Linked DNA regions of Cricetulus griseus. The protein of the gene in region 2 purifies or fractionates together with the protein of the main gene of each other region. This does not show direct contact. Links are inferred from orthologs where the notes say so. Each region holds a gene or a part of one and is shown on either strand. Other genes may lie near its edges. The genes, in order: Dnttip1 and Trerf1.

Region 1 (3,818 bases), on a different chromosome or scaffold from region 2:
TGTCTCCAAAAACAAACAACAACAAAAAACCCTCCAAATTTTTCCTAGTAAGATGGGGGTGGGCAGGTAGGTGGTCCTTTTCAGAGGTGCCTAGTACTTCAGCCCTTGTTCTATCAGCCCTAAGGCAGGCATCACAGCAGGCTCACCATTTGTGTTTATTACAAACTGTTTAATTGCTTCTTAGTCCAACAACTTTAAAAACACAGAACCACATGCCAGTCTGGGTGCTCTTCAGTGAGTCACTACAAACTAGCTCATGTACAGCTTAATGCTGCTAAGATCCAATTAGACCCAGTCCCCAGGATGGCCTCAGCCGGTCGGGGAAAGAGGGTCTTGGAGGCAGGCTGCCAAGTGTAGTAGCCAGAACACCTGGCTCAGGTCTGGGGTGGCGCTTCAGCAGCACGATGCTCATTTTCTGTCCGTAGTGTCTCCATATACTTCCGCATCTTTTCAACCATCCAGGGGGGAAGGACAAAGGATTTCAGCTCCTCCAACTTCAGGTCCAAGCATCCTCTGGGGGAGACATTGTAGGGATGTTAATGGGAGGGTGATGGCCTCATCCGTGTGCGTGCCTACTGAGGCAGACGGGAGTATAGGGAGGAGCCCCTTTGGTTTTACCTGTAATCATCACTGGCAGCCAAGTCTCGGATGTCTTCCTCAATGAGAAGGTAGGCCTGGAGGCAAGGGGGAGTGATTAAAGCCTCTGAGTCATTTCTCAGCAGTTCAGAAACACTCTTATTGTGTAAAGCCTGCTACTAGACAGACTCAGGATGAAGTTTACAGATTACCTGGCCAGAGTACAGAGGAAAGCATGGGGGATGGCCCCTTGAGAGTGTCTTTACTCAAACAGAAACTTTACAGGGGGAGGAGCAGATACCAGTGACTAAGGAAAAAAAGTTGCTCAGACTGTCCCTGAACGACACTGCCTCCTCAGCCTCCTGAGTAGCTGGATTTCAGGCATGGCTTTGGTGATTAATTTATTTATGGCTCTTACACACACACACCCCTTGATGTGGTTATAACAAGATGGTGAAAGCTAGCAGAACACGGAGGAAACAGGAGGAAGTGGTATATGTAGAAGGGGTTCGTTCAGTCAGCAGTGCTGCTGTGCAATGGCTGTAGCACTGAGTTCTCCTGGGTCTGCACAGTACCAGTCTTCCATCCTTAAGCTCACATACAGTAGCTGTTTTTGTTTCTGTAGTTGGCACTGGCCTGTAATTCTTGTAGCCCAGGCTGGCCTTGAACTCACTGCAGTACTCCTGCTTTATCCTTGAAAGTGCTGGGGTTATACATACCACATACACAGACAGACACAACACACACTAAATAATGTAATAAAAAAGTTTTAGAGCCGGGCGTTGGTGGCGCACGCCTTTAATCCCAGCACTCGGGAGGCAGAGGCAGGCAGATCTCTGGGTTCGAGGCCAGCCTGGTCTCCAGAGCGAGTGCCAGGACAGCCTCCAAAGTTACACAGAGAAACCCTGTCCCGAAAAACCAAAAAAAAAAAAAAAAAAAAAGAAAAGTATTGGGGACTAAACCTGGTCTCTCTCTCTCTCTCTCTCTTCTCTCTCTCTCTCTCTCTCTCTCTCTCTCTCTTCTCTCTCTCTCTCTCTCTCTCTCTCTCACACACACACACACACACACACACCAGGCAAGCATTCTAATCCTGAGCCATATCCCCAGCAACCTGCCTCATCTCCTTTAATTGCTTTTCTGCGCCACCCCAGACCTGAGCCAGGTGTTCTGGCTACTACACTTGGCAGCCTGCCTCCAATTAAAAAGCATTTAATTGCTCCCTGTCTTCATGCATATCTACATGATATGATTCATGTAGCCCAGGCTATCTTTAAAACTTGTCAGACAATGCAGGCTGGCTTTAAACTCCTGATTCTGCCTCTACCTCTCAAATGCTGGGATTACAGGTGTGGTACACTATTCCTGGCCTGTTGGAAAAAACAATCAAATAAATAAACAAAAACATATTTTAAAAATTTGAGACAAAGCCTGGCAGTGGTGGCACTTGCCTTTAATCCTAGCACTTGGGAGGCAGAGGCAGGCAGATCTCTGGGTTCGAGGCCAGCCTGGTCTACAGAGTGAGTTCCAGGATAGCCAGGGCTACACAGAGAAACCCTGTCTCAAACAAAAAGTCTTGTAAACTGCCTTTCCTATGGGCATCTGGTATGATGGAAATCTTGCAGGAGTAGGTGGGAGGTGAGAAGGGAGAGGGGGAGCCCTAGGAACAGGCCCCAGTCTGCTCTTCAGCATGGAGAAGCAGGCTTCACATCTCCCTTCCCATATTTTAGGTGCTTAGGGACTCTACCAAATTTGGAGACAAGCCGTGGCCAGGAGCTGGACTCATGGTCCCGGGCTGGGTGGGTCTTTGGTAGTGGTACATGGGACAACAGTGCTTACCATCTTACCACCAGTTGCCCGCATATGATGCTGCTCAGCTAGCCAGTGCTTGTCCTGAGGATCTGCTGCATACTGTGAGGGATGAAGTTAGTGGGGACACGTTAGCTTAATGGCAAGGGTTCTTCTTCTCCTGACCCTTTACCAGTTCTTACCAATGGACTGTCTTTAATTAGGGTTTTCTTTCATTGCTGTGAAGAGACACTACAGCCATGGCAGCTCTTCTAAACAAAACATTTAATGGGGGGGGGGAGGGGGCTCCCTTGCACTCTCAAAGGTTCAGTCCATGATTACCATGAAGGGGACATGGTGGAGCACAGGCACTGTGGTGCTGGAGCTGAGAGGCCTGCATCTTGCAGGCAGTAGAAAGTTGACTGACAGTCACACCCAGGAAAGTTTGAGCAAGAGACCTCAAAGCTTGCCCACACTGTGACACACTCCCTCCAACAAGGCCACACCTCCTAACAGTTCCTTCCCTTTGGGGGCCATTTTCTTTCAAACCACTACAGGGACCCTGTCCTAGACAGATATGCATACCCACGGGCTCTAGGATCTCTCAGAGTGCAGGCTGAGTCAAGCCAATAAAGCCAGGGGCTATAAACTAGTTGCCAGAGATTGGATAAGTGTCTACTTTCCCTTAAGTCCCTGTGGTAGTTTAACTATAATTGGCCCCCACAGAGGGAGTAGCACTATTGGGAGGTGTGGCTTTATTGGTAGGTATGGCCTTGTTGGAGGAAGTGCCACTGGAGATGGGCTTTGAGGTCTCACATACGCTTAACCCACACTCAGTACTGCAGATCACTTCCTATTTATCTCCTGTGGGTCAAGATGTAGGAATCTCAACTCCTCCACCACCAAGTGTGCACGCCACCTTGCTGCATTATGGTGATAATGGACTAAACTTCTGGAAATGTAAACCACCCCAATTAAGTGTTTTTCTTTTATAAGAAGTGCTATAGTGTGCCGCACACCTTTAATCCCAGCACTCAGGAGGCAGAGGCAGGTGGATGTCTATGAGTTAGAGGCCAGCCTGGTCTCCAGAGCGAGTGCCAGGATAGGCTCCAAAGCTACACAGAAACCCTGTCTTGAAAAACCAAAAAAAAAAAAAAAAAAAAAAAAAAAAAAAAAGATTACAAGTGCCTTATAACACCAATTATTATGGGGTCAGTATTTTCTTTCTTTTTGGCTTCTGACATGGTATCCCTGTGTAACCCAGGCTAGGATTAACTCTGGATCTCCCTGTCTCTTCCTCTGAGTACGGGAACTATGAGTACGTGCTAATACCTAACAGGACTGTATTTCCTAAAAACAAAAGTCAAGAAATAGCATCATGTAAACCACCTGGTTCTAGAGTTTGACAAAGACAAATAAGGTTTCGGTTAAACTTCTTACCATGTTGGAGATGACAG
Region 2 (3,818 bases):
GTGCTGCCCACAGTGGACAGTTAATCAGTTAATTAAGACAGTCCTTCATATACACACCCATAGCTAACTCAATGCACACAATCCCATTGACACTCTCTTCCCAGGTAACTCTGGGGTATGTCAAGTTGACAGTTAAAACTAACCATCGCAGTGGGTCTGGGCAAGAGCCTGGTTGTGAACGTCTAACCCTCTCCCTGGTGATGTCATCCCTGTCCCCAGCACCTTTGTGCGTCTGCTGAGAAGCCTTCGGTGACCACCCCTCACTTTCCATAACACCTCAAATTCAGGGTTGATCCTGAAAAATCTTCCCTAAATTAAGTATGTAAAACTCCTCTTTTTCCTTAGGTTTTGAGACAGAATCTCATGTAGCCCAGAGTGGCTGTCTACGCCTCCTGATTTTCCTTCCTCTGAGCCCTGGGATTACAAGCATGTGTCACCACACCCAACATCGTGTTTTGTGGAACTCTTCATCCCCTCACTCATGTTCAAGTTTACATCTACAGTTTTTATCATGTTTGCAGATGTGATTTCCAGAATAGTATAAATATTGATATTTTTAAGTGAAACTATGACATCACTTTTAATTTTATCCCATGGAATCTAAACACCCTAGCCTTCCAATATCCACCCATTACTCATTTAAAAAATATACACACACACACACACACACACACACACTGGGTCCTTCATTTTTCCTTGAAATTTTATTTGTATTTCACTTCCTCCAGGAGTTTTATATGTGATATATTTTTAGGTTTAAAGCTCTTTCATTTGTATCCCCATCTTTTCATTTCCTGAATCATGAAGCTATATTGAAAGCGTCTTCTGATTTACGTTATAGTTATATTTTTAATAGTACACAATTGATCAAGCCATACAAATGTATAAATAATAAACAGTAAAAGTAAAATTATGTTGAAAATGTACCTTGGAACAGTAGTACTGAGTGCCTTTTTAAAAATAGACTTTTCGCTAGACTTTAAAATAGCTCAGTTGGTGGTTTGCCTCGTGTGCATCAGGCCCTTGGTTTAATCACCAACACTGTATAAAGCAGGAGTCCCCACTCCTGTAGTCCCAGCACTTAGGAGGCAGAGTCAAGAGGATCAGAAACTAAAGGCCATCCTCAGCTCCAGGGCAAGCTCTAGGCCAGTTTGGGCTACCTGAAACCATGGAGAGACAGCTCAGTGGTTAAGAGCACTTCCTGCTCTTCAGAAAATTAGTTCAGTTCCCAGTATCCATGCTGGAGGACTGATAACGCCTGTTTTTCCAGCTCCAGCATCTGATACCTTCTGGCTTCCATGAACACCCACGTTCATGTGTGCATAAACACACGCACACATAAATGTCTAAGAAGATTGTTTATTGCTAGTGTGAGAGCAGGGCCAGTATTTTCCATCTATCCAGGTAGAAGCCATTGTTCATACTTGATAGGAGGAACATAGGGTTTTATCTTAAAAAACAAATCAAGGAAACCCTTGGGGCTGCAGAGATGGCTATGGTTAAGAGCACTTGCTGCTCTTGCAGGGGACCCAGGTTCAGTTCTCAGCATCCACATCAGGTAGCTCAGTCTGTGTGTCTGTCTCTGTGGGAGGTGGTTGAGTAGGACATCTGGTGTCCTCTGATCTGCACAATCACTTACCCTCCCTACATGTGAGTGTACACACCACACATACCATAGCACTCCTGTGCAGGTCGGAGCATGGTTTGTAGATGTCAGTTCCCTCCTTCCACCATGTGGGCCCCTGGATTTGGACTCAGGCTTAGCAGCAAGTGCTAACCCTACTGACCATTGTACTAGCCCTCCCCGAACTCTCCTTTTATGAACAATCACAATATATGTAATGGCTTGTTAAGAAACATCCAAGGAATTAATTTTGTCCTTTGTATCCTGTCTTCCAGGTGTGAACGACATTTCCCCACCACAGTGGTGTCTGGTCCATACCTCAACCCGGGGGAGGATGTAGACACCTCAGCTCTGCAGATGAGTGGTTCAAGCCGACTCGAACCCCTGCCTCCAGCCACCCTCACAGACATGTCAGCCGTGGAGTAGGGTGGACACTTTCTCTCATCTTCTCAGGGTTTCAGGATTTTTTATTTTCTTCATTTCCTTTGATTTTATTATATTTTTTGTGGCTGAACATTCATAACCAAGGAGGACATCATGGGGGACCAGCAGCTGTACAAGACCAACCACGTGGCTCACGGTGGTGAGAACCTCTTCTATCAACAGCCACCCCTTGGTGTCCACAGCGGGCTGAACCACAGCTATGGGAATGCAATCTCAGGGGCTGGAATGGACGCCCCGCAGGCCTCGCCCGTCTCGCCTCACTTCCCTCAAGATACTCGGGATAGTCTGGGCTTGCCGATTGGCTCCAAAAACCTTGGCCAAATAGATACCTCCAGGCAAGGAGGATGGGGAAGCCATGCAGGGCCTGGGAACCACGTCCAGCTTCGTAGCAACTTGGCCAGCTCAAACATGATGTGGGGAGCACCGGCCCAGGTAGAGCCCAGTGATGGTTACCAATACACTTATTCCCAGGCCAGTGAGATCCGCACCCAGAAACTCACCAGTGGTGTTTTACACAAGCTGGACTCTTTCACCCAGGTGTTTGCCAACCAAAACCTGCGAATTCAGGTCAACAATATGGCCCAGGTGCTGCACACCCAGTCAGCAGTGATGGATGGAGCCCCTGACAGTGCCCTTCGTCAGCTGCTATCTCAGAAGCCCGTGGAGCCCTCGGCATCAGCTATAGCTTCCCGCTACCAGCAGGTGCCCCAGCAGCCTCACCCTGGTTTCACAGGTGGACTGCCCAAACCAGCCCTTCCAGTCGGGCAGCACGCTCCCCAGGGGCACCTGTATTATGACTACCAGCAGCCCCTGGCTCAGATGTCGATGCAAGGAGGACAGCCACTGCAAGCCCCTCAGGTGCTGTCCAGCCACATGCAGCCAATGCAGCAGCACCAGTATTACCCACAGCCACCGCCTCAGCAGCAGCAAGCCGGGTTGCCGAGGATCTCCATCCAGGAAATGCAACAGCAACCACAGCAGCAGATTCGCCCCTCACAGCCTCAGCAGCAGCAGCAGCAGCTCCAGCTGCAGCAGCGGCAGGGGTCACTGCAGATACCTCAGTATTATCAGCCCCAACCCATGATGCAACACTTGCAAGAGCAGCAGCAGCCCCCGATGCACCTGCAGCCACCCTCCTATCACAGGGACCCTCATCAGTATCCCCCGGAACAGGCACATGCTGTCCAGCTGATCCAGCTGGGCTCCATGCCCCAGTATTACTATCAGGAGCCTCAACAACCCTACAGCCACCCCCTCTACCAGCAGAGCCACCTGTCCCAGCACCAGCAGCGTGAAGACAGTCAGTTGAAGACATATTCCAGTGACAGGCAGACTCCGGCTATGCTGAGCTCCCATGGGGACATGGGGCCTCCTGATGCAGGGGTAGCAGACCCAGCAAGCTCGGAAATGACCCGAGTCAGCAGTACCCTTCCTCACCAACCGCTCCTGTCCCCCAGTGGTATCCACCTCAATAACATGGGACCTCCGCATCCGCAGCCATCTCCCAGTGCGATGTGGCCCCAGGTATCTCAGAGTCGAAGTTCCTCCCCATCTCTGCTTCATGTGCGACAGGCTGTGCCAGGCATGAGTCTCGGCAATACCCAATTCTCCACCCCTCATCCTTTCTGTTCTTTATATATTTCACAAGTGTTAACATACATATGCCAGGCACTTGGGATACAAAACCAATATGGATTTAGTCCTTGGCCCTGGGGATTTGTCATCTCACTAAGGGGATGACCAAAATATT

What was found.
Region 1: the proteins of Trerf1 (region 2) and Dnttip1 purify together in Homo sapiens (affinity purification with mass spectrometry; 3 studies listed by BioGRID and IntAct, with this or other methods). This does not show direct contact. The link is inferred for Cricetulus griseus from reciprocal best matches to the Homo sapiens genes TRERF1 and DNTTIP1.

What each region holds. Positions count from the first base shown.
Region 1 is NC_048599.1:14,659,794-14,663,611, forward strand, and holds the end of Dnttip1 (deoxynucleotidyltransferase terminal-interacting protein 1), read right to left. Parts: intron 2,485-3,818; coding exon 2,413-2,484; intron 675-2,412; coding exon 619-674; intron 514-618; coding exon 375-513; 3' UTR 149-374; downstream 1-148. UniProt on the Homo sapiens protein: Increases DNTT terminal deoxynucleotidyltransferase activity (in vitro). Also acts as a transcriptional regulator, binding to the consensus sequence 5'-GNTGCATG-3' following an AT-tract.
Region 2 is NW_023276806.1:256,678,131-256,681,948, forward strand, and holds part of Trerf1 (transcriptional-regulating factor 1), read left to right. Parts: intron 1-1,899; 5' UTR 1,900-2,161; coding exon 2,162-3,592; intron 3,593-3,818.